Drosophila melanogaster: one gene and its partners. The protein of the gene in region 2 interacts with the protein of the main gene of each other region in a pairwise test. Each region holds a gene or a part of one and is shown on either strand. Other genes may lie near its edges. The genes, in order: CG10257, bur and CG10616.

Evidence for each region.
Region 1: the proteins of bur (region 2) and CG10257 interact in a two-hybrid assay, tested with the Drosophila melanogaster proteins (one large-scale study listed by BioGRID).
Region 3: the proteins of bur (region 2) and CG10616 interact in a two-hybrid assay, tested with the Drosophila melanogaster proteins (one large-scale study listed by BioGRID).

Annotation. Positions count from the first base shown.
Region 1 is NT_033778.4:14,940,310-14,945,424, reverse strand, and holds CG10257 (uncharacterized protein), read right to left. Parts: upstream 3,028-5,115; 5' UTR 2,474-3,027; coding exon 2,336-2,473; intron 2,227-2,335; coding exon 2,161-2,226; intron 1,655-2,160; coding exon 1,367-1,654; intron 1,287-1,366; coding exon 1,092-1,286; 3' UTR 956-1,091; downstream 1-955.
Region 2 is NT_033779.5:21,173,239-21,181,486, forward strand, and holds bur (burgundy), read right to left. Parts: upstream 6,446-8,248; 5' UTR 6,092-6,445; exon of another isoform or gene 5,172-6,091; intron 4,441-5,171; 5' UTR 4,423-4,440; coding exon 4,333-4,422; intron 4,272-4,332; coding exon 3,967-4,271; intron 3,939-3,966; exon of another isoform or gene 3,802-3,938; intron 3,734-3,801; coding exon 3,433-3,733; intron 3,368-3,432; coding exon 3,271-3,367; intron 3,139-3,270; coding exon 2,769-3,138; intron 2,696-2,768; coding exon 2,503-2,695; intron 2,444-2,502; coding exon 2,042-2,443; intron 1,987-2,041; coding exon 1,795-1,986; intron 1,738-1,794; coding exon 1,636-1,737; 3' UTR 944-1,635; downstream 1-943. Other genes in the region: CG31627 (uncharacterized protein), read left to right, coding at 50-604, 661-894; Mcm10 (minichromosome maintenance 10), read left to right, coding at 6,793-7,954, 8,015-8,248.
Region 3 is NT_037436.4:12,469,789-12,475,073, forward strand, and holds CG10616 (uncharacterized protein), read left to right. Parts: upstream 1-1,939; 5' UTR 1,940-2,048; coding exon 2,049-2,141; intron 2,142-2,233; coding exon 2,234-2,408; intron 2,409-2,758; coding exon 2,759-2,849; intron 2,850-2,918; coding exon 2,919-3,044; intron 3,045-3,137; coding exon 3,138-3,185; intron 3,186-3,396; coding exon 3,397-4,390; 3' UTR 4,391-4,491; downstream 4,492-5,285. Other genes in the region: CG10663 (uncharacterized protein), read right to left, coding at 5,219-5,285. UniProt on the Drosophila melanogaster protein: May play a role in the trafficking of a subset of G-protein coupled receptors.

The DNA of each region.
Region 1 (5,115 bases), on a different chromosome or scaffold from region 2:
AAAGATCGACATATACATACGTGTGTACTGTGAACAGCAATAGTTAATGCAAACGAAATACCAATTGTAACTTCGTAACTCTAATTTTTACACAGAGAACCGTTAACCGAAGTCGGGGGGACGAGGAAATTCTCTTAAAATGCGAACAAAAACATATTTATTTATTTTATTCATTTTCTACTCTGTATTTTTAACAGCAAGCAAACACAATCCGTCTACTGGCAATATAACTTTGTTAAGTATTAAAAAAAAACTTTTGTTTTTAATGCATTCCACTGTACTTACAACAACAACAAAAACATATATATATTTATTATTTTTGTTTATTTGTGATGGCATATATAGTGCCAGCATCTTTTTGTAATCCACATATGAATATTACGAAAAAATTATTAAAATTAGTATATATCAAAAATATCATTGTGTTGCGAAGGTAAATAAAATATTGTGTTTTTAATTGAAGCTAAAGATAAATTTCAGCAAAAATGTTACTTGTTAATGTATGAAAAGCAAATAAAAGAGAACAAATTAAGCGCATATTGTTAAATTTCCAAATACAACGCAATCTAAGAAAGTAATATTGATCAAAGTTTTTGATTAAAGAACATAGCAAGCAATCAATTTAAATGCAAAACAAACAGGACAAACTGAAAAACAATTTCAAATTGCACTTAAACGTTACCGATTTTATTAGTAACAACCAATATTCTTTAGCCTATCCCAATTATTATGTTGTTGTGTTTGATAACCAAGTTCTATGAGTAAGTTTAATTAGTATATAATGATTTTACTGAGCGTATAACATCAATTTGTATCTTCTTCAACTGATGTTTCCGACTAATTTTTTAAACTGGATGCACTTTTGGCATATACTACCAGATGCTAGCAAAATGAAATTGAAAACGTAAACGATAGTTGCGTTACAATTATGCATATAAAGAAAAACGAATAAAGTATTGTATAAGACAAAGTTTATGTTTTAATCAAATTGAAAAGAACTTTCGAAAAACGTTTATTAACAACTGGGCACAAATTCAACAAATGCAAAACGTTATCCTATCGTATCGTATGGAGGAGCCTTCCATTGCCCCTCAGTTGCTGCTCTGCAAAATGGAGACCGGCTCTTGCATAATCTCCTGAATCTTCGCCTCCGGAACTGCCACCCCATTCGCCAGCAGAGTGTGAACGATGCCATCATGTTTATTGCCACTTGAGCGTGCCTGAAGCACGAATTCCGTGTCCTGCAGCAGGAACTTGGTGTCTGTGCCGCCGTGAACAAAAACCGACTGCGATATGGGGGTAATAAAGTGTGTGAGTATGGTGTGTGTGTGTGTGTGTGTAGGTGGCAATAGCCCATTTCCCTCACCTCCTCGGTGCGCAGCTCATCGTTTACGTAGAGACTCAGCGTGTCCAGTTTGAGCATTATTCTATATTCCTGCGGCGCATCGGCGGCCGCATCATCCGTATATAGCCACAGTCGATATTGCCGTGTCATGTCCTCGGTGTACTGGTCGTGCGATTTGCCGTCGATGTAGAGGGAGTACTCGTATTTGAAGCCCGGCGCAGGATCAACGCGTATGATGCAGCGCGTCTGATCGATGTGAAAGGTGTCTTCGCCAACCAGTTTGAACATCCAGTCGCGACGCAGGACTTCCTGGGAATTTGATTAGGAGAAGAAAATTAGGCGGATGAACTTTATAGTTCATTTTGATAGCCCTTTAAATTGTTGCATTTGCTCTACCAGTTTATCACTCATACGCACCGTTGTCTTTGGTAAAATCTTCTATTTTGTTTGTTTGTATCGATTTAATTTATACAGTTCATATGGACTTAAAGTTTAAAAGCACTCTAAAGCACTAAAGCACTTTAGTAAGAAAGAATAAACCCAACGGTGTACTAAACATAAAAACTGAAATGCTAAATGTCGGTGAGGGATGACAGAAGTATATACATATATGTTTAGAAATAATAAGACCCAAAGAATTTAATTAAATATTTTTATCAACTAAATGAGACCTTTTTAAATATCATTCTGCATTGCTGAAGTACGATTACGTACGTACACGACCCGTAATTAAGTTTACCTTCACAATGCAAATACTTTACGAGCTCCAAAGCCACCAACCACCCATTCAGCTCGCTGGGAGCTAAAAAACTTACCCGTCCATTGACCCAAATCATGCGCCGCCCACTGGTTGTGCCATGTTCCAGCTCGATGCGGTACATCTGCGCAAAAAAAATAAAAATTACAAAAAATAAAAATGGGAATGGGCGGATAATTATCGCGAATTTCCATTAAATGTAAGTGGCGGTTTTGAAAAATAATCGCAGGTACCTTGCCATTGATGGGCACACACCATTGAGCCACAATATTCTGTTTGTTATAGCGCTGGTCCTCGGGCACATGATCCTGCGTCATCGTGGGCTGCGTGGACAGATTCTCCAGGCGCAGTGTGGGCGAAAGAAAGGACATGGGTCCGAAGCCTCGTGTCGATCTGGCTCTGGCCCACCGCCAGTCAATCAATAAATCCTATTAATATTTATAGTAATCGCCTTTAAAGTGCAGCCAACTAAATGGGTTACACAAAACCAGAGAAAACCACGTAGGTATAATATATCTATAATATTTGGGAAGTTCAAGGAACTCAAGTTTGTCTAATCTGCAGATCTGGCTGCAATGCACTTTCACTCCACCCCTATGTTTGTGGGCTTAGACCCCGAAATCGGGCTAGAATCTATTCCGCTCTCTGAATTCAACGGGCGGCGAGAAAACCCAAGACCGAACCGCACGTTGTTAGCGCCAATGGCACACTAAACAACAAACCACCGTGTACAATAAAAGCCAAAAGGAGGAGCCAAAGAAAAACTAGTTGGCCCGGCTGGCTGCCTTTGCCTTTTGGCCGGGCTCTCCGGCAGCCCAGCTCAGCTCTGTTCCGTTCTGTTCTGTTCTGGCCTTAGCCTCAGCCGTGCTTCTGGCCGAGAGTCGCGGTCGCGTTTGTCGGTCTGCCAAAGTGCAGAGCAACTACGCCGCGTGGCGCCAAAACAGAGTTGATTTGTTTCCACTAGTCGTGTGCGTGTGGATATGAGGCTGAGTGTGTGTACAGGGAAAGTCTCCTAAGACCTACACGCATATATTGGCCATACTTTAAGCGGCGATCTTTGGAATATAGTTAGCATTCAAGCCGGATACTTGGCACCCTCATACAATCCTATTCCTACATAACTGTAAAGTTTACATACCCAATCCATTTTCTACACAAATATGGTGCTTCTCCTTTTGGTTCCCGTTATCAAGTCTCCACTGTAACTACTTCTCAATACCCCCACCGAGTGTCGCTCGCATAAAAATAAACTTTGCCCCGTCAAGTATGCAATTGTTTCTGCATTGCAATTGGGCTGGCTGACTTTTCGGAATGAGCCTGGTTTTTCGCCAATGCCTCCGGCCTCCAATTGAGCGTAAGCCAAACAATATTCGTGCATACATATTTTATTCTGGATGACAATTATTTGGCCCTGGGGGATAGAGGAACTCACTGTGCCACATGGGCGCAATCGTCGCAAATTTGTCGCATTTTGTTTTGTTGTCATGTTTATGGCGCAACATTTTCTGCCCATAAATACACGCCGAAAATGCTAATGACCGATTGGGGGTGGGTTAGTAGTGGGCAATGGGTGATTTCTTTACGCTGCCAAAAGACTTGCCGCCTCCTATTGGTATTTCAATCGACCAGAAGCGATATTGATAAATGTATTTGGGCCAGATTGGGGTAAGGAAGGAGTCGCCAACGAAACGGGCACATCATATGTCAAATCAAGTTTCCCAGCTCTTGGCTCCAACCCATTTAGCCACCCAAATGTGTGGGTGGCAAGAAAAACATATGCCATCGCACCAGCACGCGAAGGTCACTGACAAAGCGCCGTTTGAAGTCGCTTACAGTTTTAGTTGATGTTGACGCTATCAAAAGGGGCAGAGTGGGTGGCGATGGGCGTGCTTTCGCCTTTCTCTGGATGTGAGTGTGTGTTTGCTGGTGTGTGAAGAAGGAAAGCGTTCGCTTGACAACAACAACAAAAACAGCGTTGGCAGATAACGAAACATTTGACAAGGACAAGGCTGCCCGCCGCCCATCAACTCCCCTATCAGCACGAAGCTCCCCGGGAGGCAGTGTGTTAGTGTAATTATTAGTGCTCTACAAAATAAATAAGTACGTATATTCATGCAAACATTCAGTTTTTTCCACGCTTCCTCGCGGATCCCCAGGCTAAAGCACTATGGGATATCTTGTGGATATCTGCAAAATAAATCTAGTTATATTCCACATCCAATCCTTAAGTATTTTAACTAACTTTGTACACATAAAGAACCAGTAAGAGGAACTTGCTCATGCATATATACCCTTAAAATCCATTTGAATGAAAAGGATCTTATGATTTTGCATCATATTTTTTGTAAATCAAGTTGAATGAGTACAAGGTTATAACAGAAGCTAAATCAAAGATTAATATATGTATATACTTAAAAAAAAAAGTTTGGGTAATATACCCAAATTTAAATTATAAATTCGTTCTTGTATATTATAATAAATAAGATTTAATTTATGTATATCATTTTTGGATTAAAAAATCATGATAAATTATATATCTAAATTATATTTTCTTATTATATGTGACATTGCAATACCTCCATATTTCATAAGGTATTTTGCCCATTTATCTTTTCCAGCCCATCGTGCGCGGTTGCGCTTTTTCGTTCACTACTTTCCAGCTGAATTTACGACCATTCCGCTGGTTGTTCACTTTTTATGCAAATACATGTGGCCAAAAGTGCCGCAACAGACAACATTCGGTGGCGCTGTCGCTGATGATGTCGTAGCCAGTGGAGCCGCGGAGCACGGTGGCAGGAGGTGCATGTAGCGGATTCTCCAGGGGGATTGGATTGCGTGCTTCGCTGGTGTCGGCCAAATGGCACACTACAAATGTCGCCGTCAATTAATTTTCATAGATAATTGCCTGTCGATAACGACAGCAGCAGGCGGGGACATTAATCAAAAGGCCGCCAGGCTGTTGACTAGATGGTTTTTGTACTTGGCCCTTTCGGCGGCTGGATGAGATTTAATC
Region 2 (8,248 bases):
TCGAATTGTCAATCAAATATAAATTATTAGTAAATCCAATTCTAGGACTATGAAACGCAGAGCTCAAAGTAAAACTTCCGTTGCTTCCAGCACGGATTTCTTTTCACTCTCCGACAAGCCATCGTTGGGAAGAAGACGAGCCCTACTGGCTGCAAAACTTAAGCGTCAGGAACAGAGTACAACGTCCTTTGACTCCAGCACAGGCTCCTACACTTATACAGACGCCACTTCTTTGCGAAAGACCCCCATCACCTTCTCACCTAGCCCGGAGTTCATGAAGACCGCCAAGGCTAAATTAAAGTTAATCGCATTGTATGAAGATCACAAATGCTTGTGGAATCAGCGCAACAAAGATTTCTTCAATTTCGAGCTCAAAGACAGAATCTGGGATGCGATTGCCGATGAAATGAAAGCGGACTCGCCATCTGGGTTTTGGAAACATATGATTCACAAGCTTCGCTATAAAGTTGAGATGGAGCGCATACAAGAGCAGGGTGCAAAGTTTTCGGGTGAATCGCCGCAGCCAAAACTATTTTATTCAGATAATCTGCTGTTTCTAAATCACATGTTTGACCGAGAAGGGGGAAAACCCCCTCGAGAGATTGTATGTTTATAGTTAACGAACAAATCACTTTAGTATTTATTCTACTTTTTACTCAGCCAATGCATCTTAAGCCTTCGGGACCTACTCTCGAAAAGAATCCGTCTAGAAACCTGCGACATGTTCAGGAAAAACGTAAACGTACGCCCATTAGAGAAAAGATGGCTTCGCTTGAGAAGTTGAGGAATCTCCAAAATAGCAAGTTTGTTCTCTCCCGCGACGCTTTTCAAAAAATTCAAAAAATTACTAGTGGCGGTCCCTATTACTTGACAAAAACAAAGATTAGACCATAGGCCTTGATTTGAATATCTCAAAATAAAAAAATGCAATGCAAACACATTTGAATCGATTTTTCGCTTTATTACATTTCTTGTATCATAATCGTTTTGTTTTTCTGGTTTTGCCATTTTTTAAATATTGACGTTTTATATAACAATTCATAATTTTAGCTTACAATATTTTTGTTTTGTATTCTTAGAATCGTTTATGCCTTTTGCCATGAAAACACTTCTCTCTCTAGCAAATATACAATTTTCGAAACTTGTGATTTTGCAATTATTTATTATGTATATTATATATATTATATGTATATAACTAAAAATGCGTAAATTAATTTTTTTTTGTTTGTTACGTGGTTTGTGGGCACATTCCTTTTATCAAAAGGAACAAAACATGAAAATGTACATAAGTGTTATTGGCAAATAGTTTACCATCTGTTTTAGATCTTGATACACATACGTGCATCATCGATATAAAGAACCTGAATTGTTTTTAAATTTCGAAGCGGCAGTTGCAGTTCTGTATTTGCGCCTCATGAATTGCTCGTTTAACGTGTCTCTCTAAAAGGCAGGAGCAGCTGTGAAGTGCTCGAAGGCAAGGGTCGATCCGTCCGCCGTTGGATCTTTATCCTTCCTGACCGTCCATTGATTGGCCATTGTCCTATTATCGAGAGCCCGCCGCTTATTGGTTGGTTGATTATTTTTTCTCTCATCTATTTTTATGAAATGGCTGTTAAAAATTTTGGTTTGAACGCATCATTCCCATTCGGTGGTGCCCGGCGGCTTGGCTGTCAAGTCGTACAGCACCCTCGAGATTCCATCCAGCTTGGATATATCGCGTACAATTTGATTTAGGACCTTTGAGCAGGAAAAGATTAAATATACATTTTTCAGAAAGATTGAAAACTGACTCACTTGCAAAGGCATTTGCACGGATCCGGGCTCAGCCGGCACACCAGTCATAAAGTCGTTCGTTATGAACGGACGCAGCACTACCGACCTTCTGCACGAGGGTGTGCGGTTAATGGGATCGCGGTCAAAGTGCACGGGTATGAGAACAACAGGCATCTGCGAGATCTTCCGGTATAGTCCAGCTTGCATTATGATCTAAAACGGTTATGATATAATACATTTTATTTATTTCTATGACAAATCCACTTACTTCATTGGCAATATCATCGGCTTGCCTCAGCTGCGAAAGAACTACAGTATTCAGTGTGGTGTGCGTAATATCCGTCACTAGATACTGTACGGGTTCGCCGAAGATATAGCACACCCTGTTCACGTTGTGCAGAATTCGCGGTATGATTTTGGCGAGGAAGAGAAGATCCTGCCAGTTGGGCTCCTGGCTCGTGGATAGGCCTACTACGTAGCTATATGACCGTTTATCACCTTGCACGCCCACTGATCGGATGGGCAGCAAAGTTGCCTGGATCTGCGAGTTCGATGAGATACGCATAAGGTCTTTCTGTTCCGCCTCGCTCGTGGCCGCCGTTACGCGGTTGATCAAAGCATGGTTCTTCTGCAGTTTATTCTTGTAGTCTACAATCACGCGGATAATAACCTACAATTAAATAGTATATTTATTATAATAACTTTGACAGCAATTAATTGTTAACATGCCTGAGTTTCTGAGTAGTCCTTTTCCATGTATGCCTCCTCAGCGCAAAGGACGCGGATTGCCAGGCCAGGACCCGGAAAGGGTTGCCTCTCCACAAGCTCTTGAGGCAGGCCAAGATCATTGCCAAGGTCGCGCACTTCATCCTTATGAAAGTCGCAAAGGGGCTCAACCACACGTCCTGCGTTACGAAGCTCTCTGAAGAAATGAATTACAAAAAATAAGCTGATCACTAAAATTTGGTTAGGAATTTAGACTTTTGCTTTTTTACCTGATCAGATCCGTGTCATTGTGGTGCGTTTTGATTGTTTCTGCATTCGTGCTCACCATGCTAGAGGCGGACTCGATCAGATCTGGTCGGAGGGTTCCCTGGGCCAACATAACTTCTTCGGGCTTTAGTTTCAATTCGGCTACTACATCATTGGTCACCTTGACGAATATATCACCAATTATCTTGCGTTTTTCCTCCGGATTGTATGTCTGACATAACATCGGCGTTTCCACCACGGAGTACTGTCCGGGCCTCTTGACCTGCGTGGTGCCTTTAAGGAACGTGTAGCCTTCTTTTCGGACGATTAAATCAATGCCAATATCGCGCAGTGAACGCTCCACCTTTTCACTTTCCTTCTTGCGCATGAAACCTTGAAGTAAGGGATAAAATATTAGGTTTTAAAGTACAAATGATATAAATTCGGTATTCACCGAGTTAATGAATTATTTGACGTAGAAAAAATATAAATGAATAAATTTCGCTAATCTGTCTACTGTCATACCATTATCTACATGCACGGCAATTATCTGATGAGGGTACAAAGCACGGCGGAGCAAAGCTGCACAGACACTCGAATCCACGCCGCCGCTGACCAGGAGCTGTAAAATGTAGATTGTATTGAGATATTCATGTCTTGATTGAAAATTTATTTTCCCAAACTCACCAACACCTTATTGTTGCCCACTTTCTCACGGATATAGCGTATGCACTCCTCCTTTCGACTACCCATGGTAAAGTTAGGTGTCAGTTCGCAGATTTCGTACAGGAAGTTCGATAGCATCTGTTTGCCATTGATAGTGAGGTCCACCTCAGGATGGAACTGTACGCCGTAGATGCGTAGTACTTCATTGTAAATGGCTGTCACAATGCGGTTTGTAGACCAGCCACCAATCTTCAGATTCTCGCCTACCCTCTCAACGCTATCTCCGTGGGTTAACAGCACGGACTGTGTGCGACTGAGGCGACTGCGGGAAACGAAGATGTTATGTTTGTTAATTGCATGTATTAGAATAATTAATGGTAATGATAGATAATATGTTAGGCCACGTGTAGATCAGTTTATAAACTACTCTAAACTAAACTGTTCTTGGCTTTAAAATTGTTCTGGCAGCATTGTATCAGCGCTTAGGTAAACGCATTTAAGCCTAAGCACTTTCTTGTTGCTGCTTGTTTTGGGAATCAATATTTCCTGGCTCACCTAAAGAGCGGGCACGAGGTCTCGATCTCGATATTTTGTTGGCCATCCTCTCGAACATCCTTCTTGAGCACTGTGCCCCCGAACTCTTTGTTGATTAGCTGCATGCCGTAGCAGATGCCCAGCATAGGTATTTTTAGCTTGAACAGATCGGGATCATAGCTGGGCGCATCCTCAGCGTAGACTGAGTTGGGTCCGCCGGAGATGATGATGCCTCGATAGCCATTGTTGCGTATCGTGGCAGCTGGCGTATCCAGAGGAAGGATATCCGTCTCAACGAAGAGTTCGCGTACCTTACGGTCGATAACCTGCGGAGAAACCAGGACCATTTTAAGAAGAGGTTAAAACTACTCTTGGTTTTAAGCTTACCTTGCCGTACTGTGCTCCCGCATCAAGTATAACAATCTTATCATGCCGCAGGCCATTCTCTGCTGTGCCCAGAAAAATGTTTGAGTTCATTTCTTTATCGTTGCAGCACTGAAAAGAGCAAAGATTTGAGTGTCAGTCAAGCAATCGCAGAAACAAACACCGAATCTCGACTGGCTGGTAAACGCGCTTCTGCTGCTTATTTATACTCCAATTGTGGCTGCAATCGACGCTACAGAAACAAGGCTAAAAGCTGGCTAGGAGGTGGGGAAAATAGGTTTCGGATTGGGGCAATCGCGGAGATTGAGATTTGTGGTACAGAAGGCTCACATACCGGCAATATCTTGTGGAGCACTCGCAGAAACATTCAACATGCAGCTGGCCAGGACGCTCTACGATAGACAATAAACATTGGCAAATATTTTCTTGTCACAGAAAGATGATTTGTGCAATGTGGAAAGAAATTTACAAGCGACGAAAAACAAGGCCGAGAGACGCCTACCAAAAATGATTCGCTGTGCATCGCGACGATTACGTTCTGTGGGTATTATTTATTTGACCAAATATAAAACATTTACGTATATGAATAAGCCTATAACTTAATCTTAATAATACCTGTTTATTTAACCGTGGTTAGAATTTAAGACAGAGTGTATTCACAGCCAGCATAAAATCATAGATACCATAGGAAAAAGTGCTCCAAATGATCATAGTTTGGTTTTTTAAAATAATATTAAATAGATATAATTTTTGTATAATTTTGGTCAACAGACTGAATTTGGATTAACAACATGAAAAACGAATTTTTGTGCCAGGAGTATCTGTCAATGCTATATACTTCTACATACTAAAGTAGATTATCAAAGCATGGAAGTTAACATTTAATTTTATAGACACATTTGTCCCATCAAAGAATTTAGAAAAACAGCAGGTCAGGAACATGCTTTTCGAATTCCCGAAGTAATCGGCGACTTAGTACATATATTTTAAAATACAAATTTCGATGCATGAGGATGAGGATGTGAGGAGGAAACGGAACGTAATGGTGATGGGGTCAGGGGGGAGGGCGCCGGCTACTGACCGCCAGATGACAGGCGAAAATACTAAGAGGAGAGTGGCAGCGGAAGCGAGAGAGAGCGAAAGATGAGCGGAGAAAAATGGCAGGTAAACGAAAACAGAGCTGAAAAGTGCACAAGTAAAATAGAAAACAAAAATAAACAACAACAATCCAGGAGACAAATCGACGGTAGCAAGTCTTCTTGTTTGCCATTTATTTTCTCTTGAAGTGTGTAAAAACGCAGCAGCAGCAATATGAAAAGCCTCTCCGAAGGTTAGGAGTGCATTAGGTCACTGAAGCGATGCGATGTCTGTGATGTAAGCCGTGCTCCTCCTTTGGCTCTCTCTCATTTTTGATAACAACATGCAAGAGGTTATCAGAAACGGCACAAACCACAGCAACAACAACTAAAGAGGGCGGCCGCGTGGTTGTAATTTAATACACATGCAGAAGGCACGCACACTTACACACGTGGAGCCGCCAACAAGCGGCGCTTATAACCACAAAATGGCCACGGGATATATTTGCAAAACATTTAAAAAATTGCAAATGCGGAGAACAAAAAATCGCAACAAAAGCAAAGGCAAATGCGGTTGAAGCTAATTTGCGAATTCAACGGGCGGGGTGCGGAATTGTGGGCGGAGCAGCACCGCATGGCGATTTGGCTGGGATCGGGGATCTTTTTCGCCATATTGCGACTCTCACCTTCTCTCGTTTTAGCCTGGCTGCGGTTTTCCAGAACCGGGAAGTCCGTCGGCAAGGCCGTGGAATACCGTGACAAGCAGCGCAAGACTTTGTCTTAAGACGAAATTCGCGATCCGTTGTTTGCGGTCCCCCGTTTTCCTTCCTCACGCACACACTCAAAATTTCTTCGGCTGCTGCAGCTTCTTTTCCGCGTATCCAGGGCTGCTCGACACAGCTGGCGATGAAATCCCTGTGATTTTCACGGCTGCGTTATTATGGCCGCTTCCAGGGACTTTCCTTTTGGATTTCCTGCAGTTTTTTCGCGAATTAAAGCCGAAAGATGACTTATTGACGAGCGGATGACCATATTTCGGATTTGGGAAAAATCCAGCTGTGCTGCAAACGAAAAATACCAGCTGTGAACGTTTTTGGTATTAATATTTACCAAATAAATAAATTTATATTTATTTCGAAAACAATGAAAATTCCTTAATAACATTACATTACTTCTTTATTAGGAGTGCTTAAGTATTCTTTTAAATAATGAATTATAATTAAAATTATAATCTGTTTGTACAGTGTTGACAAACGAGCACTTTTTGTAGAACCATATACATTACCCGGTCACACTGAGCCCGCCAAAACAGATATGTTATTGCGCTTATTTAGAAAACCAAGAAAAAACACGAGAACACGTGAAAATACAAATCTACCCAAATGAAATGGGTCCTGCTCAGAAATCCGGAACAGATATTAGTATCGATGATGAGGAGGAAATACTGGCTCTGGAAAAACTACTGGGTGCAGCAGAAAACGAAAATACAAAATCTGCAGAGTCAGAAAAAGCAAAACCCACCGCACCCATTTTGGTGCCAAAACTACGAGAAGACAACAGTTTTGCTAATGCCTTCACCTTCGAGAAGATCGTGAAACCGGAAAAGCAGAAGAATGCTGCTATCATTAAGGAACCAGAGCTGGACTCGTCCGACGACGAGGAGGTAAAGAACTTCCTGGAACGAAAGTACAATGAGTACGGCAGTGATATAAACAAGAGACTGAAGCAGCAGCAGGAGAACGCCTACGAGTCCAAGGTGGCGAGGGAGGTGGATCAGGAGCTTAAGAAGTCTATCCACGTGGTTACATCCACCCCGCAACCCCTGAAAAATCCGCATAATCCTATTAAACGGCAATCGGCGGTGAGCACCACGTTTCAACGTCCTCCGCCAGTCGCTGCCGCCGTGGCATCTACATCCCAGTCAAGTGCTCCCGTATCTGCTGTTTTTACGGATCCAGTCTTCGGACTGCGCATGATCAATCCGCTAGTCTCCAGCTCACTGCTGCAGGAGCGCATGACGGGCAGGAAACCTGTGCCCTTCTCAGGCGTTGCGTATCACATCGAGCGAGGCGATTTGGCCAAAGATTGGGTCATTGCTGGCGCGCTGGTTTCCAAAAATCCTGTAAAAAACACCAAGAAGGGTGATCCCTACTCCACGTGGAAACTATCCGATCTACGGGGAGAGGTTAAAACGATCTCACTTTTCCTTTTTAAAGAGGCCCACAAATCCCTGTGGAAAACAGCGGAGGGTCTGTGCTTGGCTGTGTTGAATCCAACTATTTTCGAGAGGAGAGCGGGAAGCTCCGATGTGGCCTGCCTATCCATCGATAGCTCCCAGAAAGTCATGATCCTGGGTCAATCCAAAGATTTGGGCACATGTCGGGCCACCAAAAAAAATGGGGACAAGTGCACTTCGGTGGTTAACCTAACCGACTGTGATTATTGCATTTTTCATGTAAAGCAGGAATATGGCAAGATGTCCCGACGTTCTGAACTGCAATCGGCGACCGCAGGTCGTGGTATCAATGAACTAAGAAACAAGGTTTTGGGTAGGTAGACTTTGATTTTGAAGAAAACTCAATATAACTTAGTTTTTTCTTTATGTTAAGGCAAAAACGAGGTATTTTACGGCGGCCAAACATTTACTGCAGTTCCCGCAAGAAAAAGTGCCAAGTTAATCACCAAGGAACGTGATCGTCTGAGTATGCTGGCTGGCTATGATGTTTCCCCCTTCGCCCATACCGCTAACCACACCTCAAAGCCCAAAACAGCCGAACCCACTAAAATTCCATATGCAGAACGTGGCGGTCCTGTTTCCCGTTTGGCTGGTGGTGTGGAAGCGT
Region 3 (5,285 bases), on a different chromosome or scaffold from region 2:
TGATCAGAACTGCCTTTGTATTTATTTGTCTGTTCGAATGCAAAGTGCACAATGCACCGAACACTCGTGCATATATGTTTCTTCGATTTGTGAAAGGCGAATCATGAATGAAACGCTGCTGACGATGACGTTCGAGTGCCCTCATGCCAGAGATCCAGAGCAAACGCAAACAATCGAACAGGAATAATTTACTAAGTAAATAATATCTGGATACCGATCGCTGCACGGTAAGAAATTGCGTAAACCGGTGACCCATATTGCTCAGCAACCAAAGAAACCTTTCAGCACTGAGATATTTTTCATTCCATTGTTTTCTGGGATAATTTAAAGTAACAGAATTATCTTCTTACAACATTTTTTTGTCTTAACTTGACAGTAAGAGTTCTTAATTAAAGTCTGAAATTTTTAAAAATATTTTTTACGATTTTTTTTTACTAGTTTACTCAAGATCTATAGCAATATTTAAAGAGTTGAATCAATGGTCTCTATGGAATAGTGTTATATATGGTATATACATATTTCGTAACCATTTGATCCCAATTTTGGCCAGTGTAATCCCCGCGAGTAGCGTGCGCCCTCGCCCCATCAAGTGGCACTTCAACAATCAAGCATTCACACAAGCAGATGGTCCGCAGCCGTTGGCGACCACCTAAATGAAATTTCATTTAGTTTTTTTTCGCCCGTCATCGCCGCCGCAATCGCAACCCGCTCCTCGAGATCTCCCCATCCATCGCAGTCCATCCAATCCATCCGTCCAGCGCAGAGTTCCAGCCCCAATCCCAATCCCAATTCCAATCCCAATACGGTCTCCTATTTGCTTATGCACACATTATCAACGTACGCCCGCCTTATGGAGTGTTTGTTTACCTAATTCGATTACCGATCGCGTCCGTTCGCGCCATAGTCCACCGGCCACTTGACCATTTGGGTGGCACGGATCCGTACTCATGGGGTCCGCTCTTCGGCCAGACGTCGTGCGTAATCGCCCCACGGCAGCTGATGCAGTGCAGCGGAATTGGGAGATGGAGATGGAGATTATGTTGCTGCTGGAGCCGGGGGCCTTAATTGAAGAACCTGCCACGGGGGTACATACATACATACTTTCATCGCTTTGCAGTCGCGGAGGTAAATTAAGTCTTAATATCCTAAGTCGAGTGTCTAAAGATTAGGAAAATAAACACTCAAGGACTTTATCGATTCGTAAAGAAAAATCAAAAGTAAACTGCAATTACATTTCAATAATAAACAACCCTATATCAAAGAGTCTTCTTTAAATTACTGCTTGTCAATTTCTTAAAATTAATAAATAAATCTATTCAATCATGTTCTAATTGATAAAAGTAAAGTGTGCCTATTCTCATAAAATTTGTATAAACATTCAGGGAGTTATTTAAATAAGGTATATTTACGTATTTATACGTATACAGTTATTGAATGTTATTTTTTTTTTTAAATGCCTCGCCAGGAGCTGTTAAACATATATATTATATTATCTAGATGTTGCACATGGTATTTGAAACACTTTTTAAATAAATCTTGGACAAACATGTAAAATTTAGTAGTTATTCTTAGTAAAAAAAAAGGGTAATGTTGTTTTATTAATTACACTTTTTAAAATTTCGAATATATTTTTAAATTTAACAGTTTTCTAGAGATGGCAAGCTTTTTTAAATAAACTTCGTTAAATATCGATAAGAATTTACCTCATAATCCATACTTTTAAAATATAACCTTCGGTCACACCAATTCATAGAGCTGGTGCGTATCGATAGTCGGCACATTCAAAATAAATAAATTCCCAAACACCATTTAATTAAGGTCAATGGACTTGATTGTGGCGTTATTTTTAAAATCCGAAAATAAATAGCAATTGAATTCAAATTTGAATAGCTTAGCACTATCGCTCACTATCGAAATTTAGCCTCGATAGCAAGTATTCGATTACAGCTACTATCGTGGGGGGTGTACCCAGCTCTAAAAATTTGTCATTTCGGAACGAATATAGTTAACATTAAATTTACGAAGTAAACAGAAACCCCAGAGCCACGATGCGCACAGTGCTGTTGAGCAAACACGACGAGCTGTACCTGGAGAAATGCGCACAGGAGAACCAGTTCTCGTACGGGATAATCGTGGGCCATGTAAGTGCCATCCGCCACGTAGATTTTGTTTGGTTCCCCCGCTCAACTGAATCTCCACTTTCTCCTGGTTTCATCCGCTTCGGTTGAAATAGCAAGCGGATCTCACCAAGAGCGTGGTGGTCCACCTGGCCAGGAACAACGAGGAGGATGCGGATCTGGAGGACCTGTCGGAGGTCCGGCTCACCATCTCGGACATCAACTCACAGGCATTGGCCTCCCAGTGGCTGAGCGCCAGCAAAATGTGTCCCGGATCTTTTGACGTCATCGGTGGGTTTGCGTGCTGCCCCTGCAGTTTTATCTGCCCTACCCAGAAATAATCATAGTCATAATGCTAAGGCATATTATTTATGGGGACCTTGTATTCCTCCCGTGGATTCGAAATTTAGCCAAACCCTTTTTTTTTGTATGTTTTGTATATGGGCTAACCCACCCAATTTGACTGTTTAATCTGTCAATTCGAAACTTTTGATCTTTCGTCATAGATAAATCTTTAAGCTATCAGTAATGGGTAGTGAAACCAGTAATGTAAACTTAGGTACTTAACTAAGATGAAAGTAAGCGAAGCTTTAGGACTTACCATCTAGAATTAATTATTAATGAATTATTTATCTTTGCAGGAATCTTTGTGTCTTCAGTAAGATCCGATGTAGTAAACGAACAGAGCGCCGAATTTAAGAATGCCAAAAAGCTGTTTTCAGATATTTACGAGTAAGTCACTAACTATATGAGTATGATATGAGTCTCCATTTGAAATGACCTCTTTTCTTACTTTTCCAGTTTGCTCCTGAAAAGCAACAGCTCGTTTGGCGTCTACACCACCGACATTGCACAGACTGATTTCGTATTCCTCTCGTATTCGCTGGCCGACAAGAAAGTGCTCTGCAAGAACTACAGCTATGGCAAGTGAGTATCGGAAACGTAATCCCTGATCACAGATACGGGTCTCAATGTGTATTCTTTCTTTCACCAAACGAATCGCTTACAATTTATAACTAGACATTGCAAAAAAACGTATTTTACGGCAAACATAAAATGCATCATATGGTAACTAAAAAGTTGAGAACTATGTACTTTCATAACTTATGTTCTATGTTCAATAATCACTTTCTTTGCTATCCTTGTCCTTGTGTTTCTTATTTCTTGGAATGCATTTTATGTGTTAGTTAACCATTAGGATTGTTCATGTTTATATGGTAGTTTGATTACATTCAGACTTTTCCTAGCCTAAATATAATATGAGTATTTCTTTTGATAGCGGCGGCACTTTCACCAATATGGAGTTCCGGTTTGTGGACAAACCCTTCGAGTGGATTCAGCTGGAGTGCAGCTACGATTTCGATGATGTGCTGCCCATACTGGACTCCTCGCGTCGCGTCAACATCGAAGACCAGTTCCAGAGTATGATAGTGTCGGTGCGCAAGAACCTGCTCGCCAGTGAAGTATTCCTCCAAAACGAAGTTGTCGAGGACACCATCGATCTGCAGGCCTATATCAAAAAGAAAAAGACGAAAGTGGACAAGCTGCAACCGACATCGACAACAGGTGGCACGGCCACTGCCTCGAGCAACACCACTGACTCCCTGCCGCGGCTTGCGTCCGAAGGAATCATCGGAGGCACTGAAACCATCCGGGCGAGCATCGTGCTCCCCATGAAATGCCAGCTGAGCAAACCGACGGACATCAAGGTGCGCGAATTTAGTGGCACGCTGCACATGAGCGGCATTATTACCTCAAAGGTATTCTGCAATCCTCGAAACAGTATAGCAGATGTTAAGCGTTTCCTACGCGACGATGTGCTCCGTTCGCTGATAACGCGTATACAAGTGTACTGCGATGGACTCACCGATCCATATGTGACCAATGAAGCTCTGTACATTAGTGAGCCGCCGAGACGTGTGTTCTTCAGCCTGCCTTCAGAGGGTCCCAGTGCGTCGGTCGGAGCAGTAGTTCAGTTTTCCGAGTACTTATTCCGTGGCGAGGCACCAACTGTTGTGGTGGCCCAGGCTAAACAGATTCTGGACGTGGATCTAGATCCAGAGACCATATCCGTGGAGGCAGAGGGACTCCCGGATGATACGCACTTCAACAATTGCAAGATGGACGCTGATTGCATAGACGATTCTGGGATTATGACCAGTTCGATGCCAAAGCCGGAACTTTCGCGCAGCCTTTACATGGTGGGAATCGCAGTGGCCCTGCTGGTCCTCCTGTCCTCCGTGGCACTTCACTTTGTCCTAGCCGAGCGGTAGGCAGCTGGGATGCTGGGATGACCGAACCAATAAACCAATTTATATGAAATGTTTTTATACAGATACATTAATTGCATGTGTGCCCACGCACTCACCTCTCTATTGTGATCGTTTGTTTTTATAATTCATTGTGTACTCGTAGTAGTAAAAAAAAAAAGAATGTGTATAGGGATCACGTTAAATAGTTTTATTGTGGAAGCAAAACTGTGCAGCATTTAACACCAATATAATAAACTAATAAGTAATATACATATCTGCGATTCTTTGGTACGCCTATAGGGGAATTTCTCCTTATCTATTTCCATTTAAGAGGATCTAAGTGTTAATTGTAGTGTATTTTAGTGGTCAAGCTACAGCAATTTAACTTTTTACAGTTCATATGGCTTTTTATTTATAATTTATTAATTATTTTACAACCTTAAATCTCAGATTCCTGTTTTAACTTATGCCTACCGTAATTATATTAACCTTAAAGAAGAAATTAATAATTTCATTAGTAATTGTTTAGCATAAAACATTAAGAGTTCAGTTATGTACATTAGGCAAGTTAGAATTGTAACTATATTAAGTGGTAAGTAATAGTACTTTCAATTAGTACGTGCCTTTAGACTTTAATTACACAATTATTTGGTTGTCTAAATTAGAATCGAATTTGTTCCTTTGCAACTTCTAGTTCAAAATGAGCACATAATAATTGTGTTGTGGTGATCATGCGAAGATTTCTCGCACGATTCGAACACTTAAAGTGTAAATTAGTTTTTCACAGCCTCTGCAACTTAGCGGACCCAAGTCCATGTCTACGAAGTAACCACCGAGATGCCACAGATGCTAGTGCATCTTGCAGTTGCCATCGCAGTTGACAACCGACCACACCCAGTCCACGTAGTTGGGCACC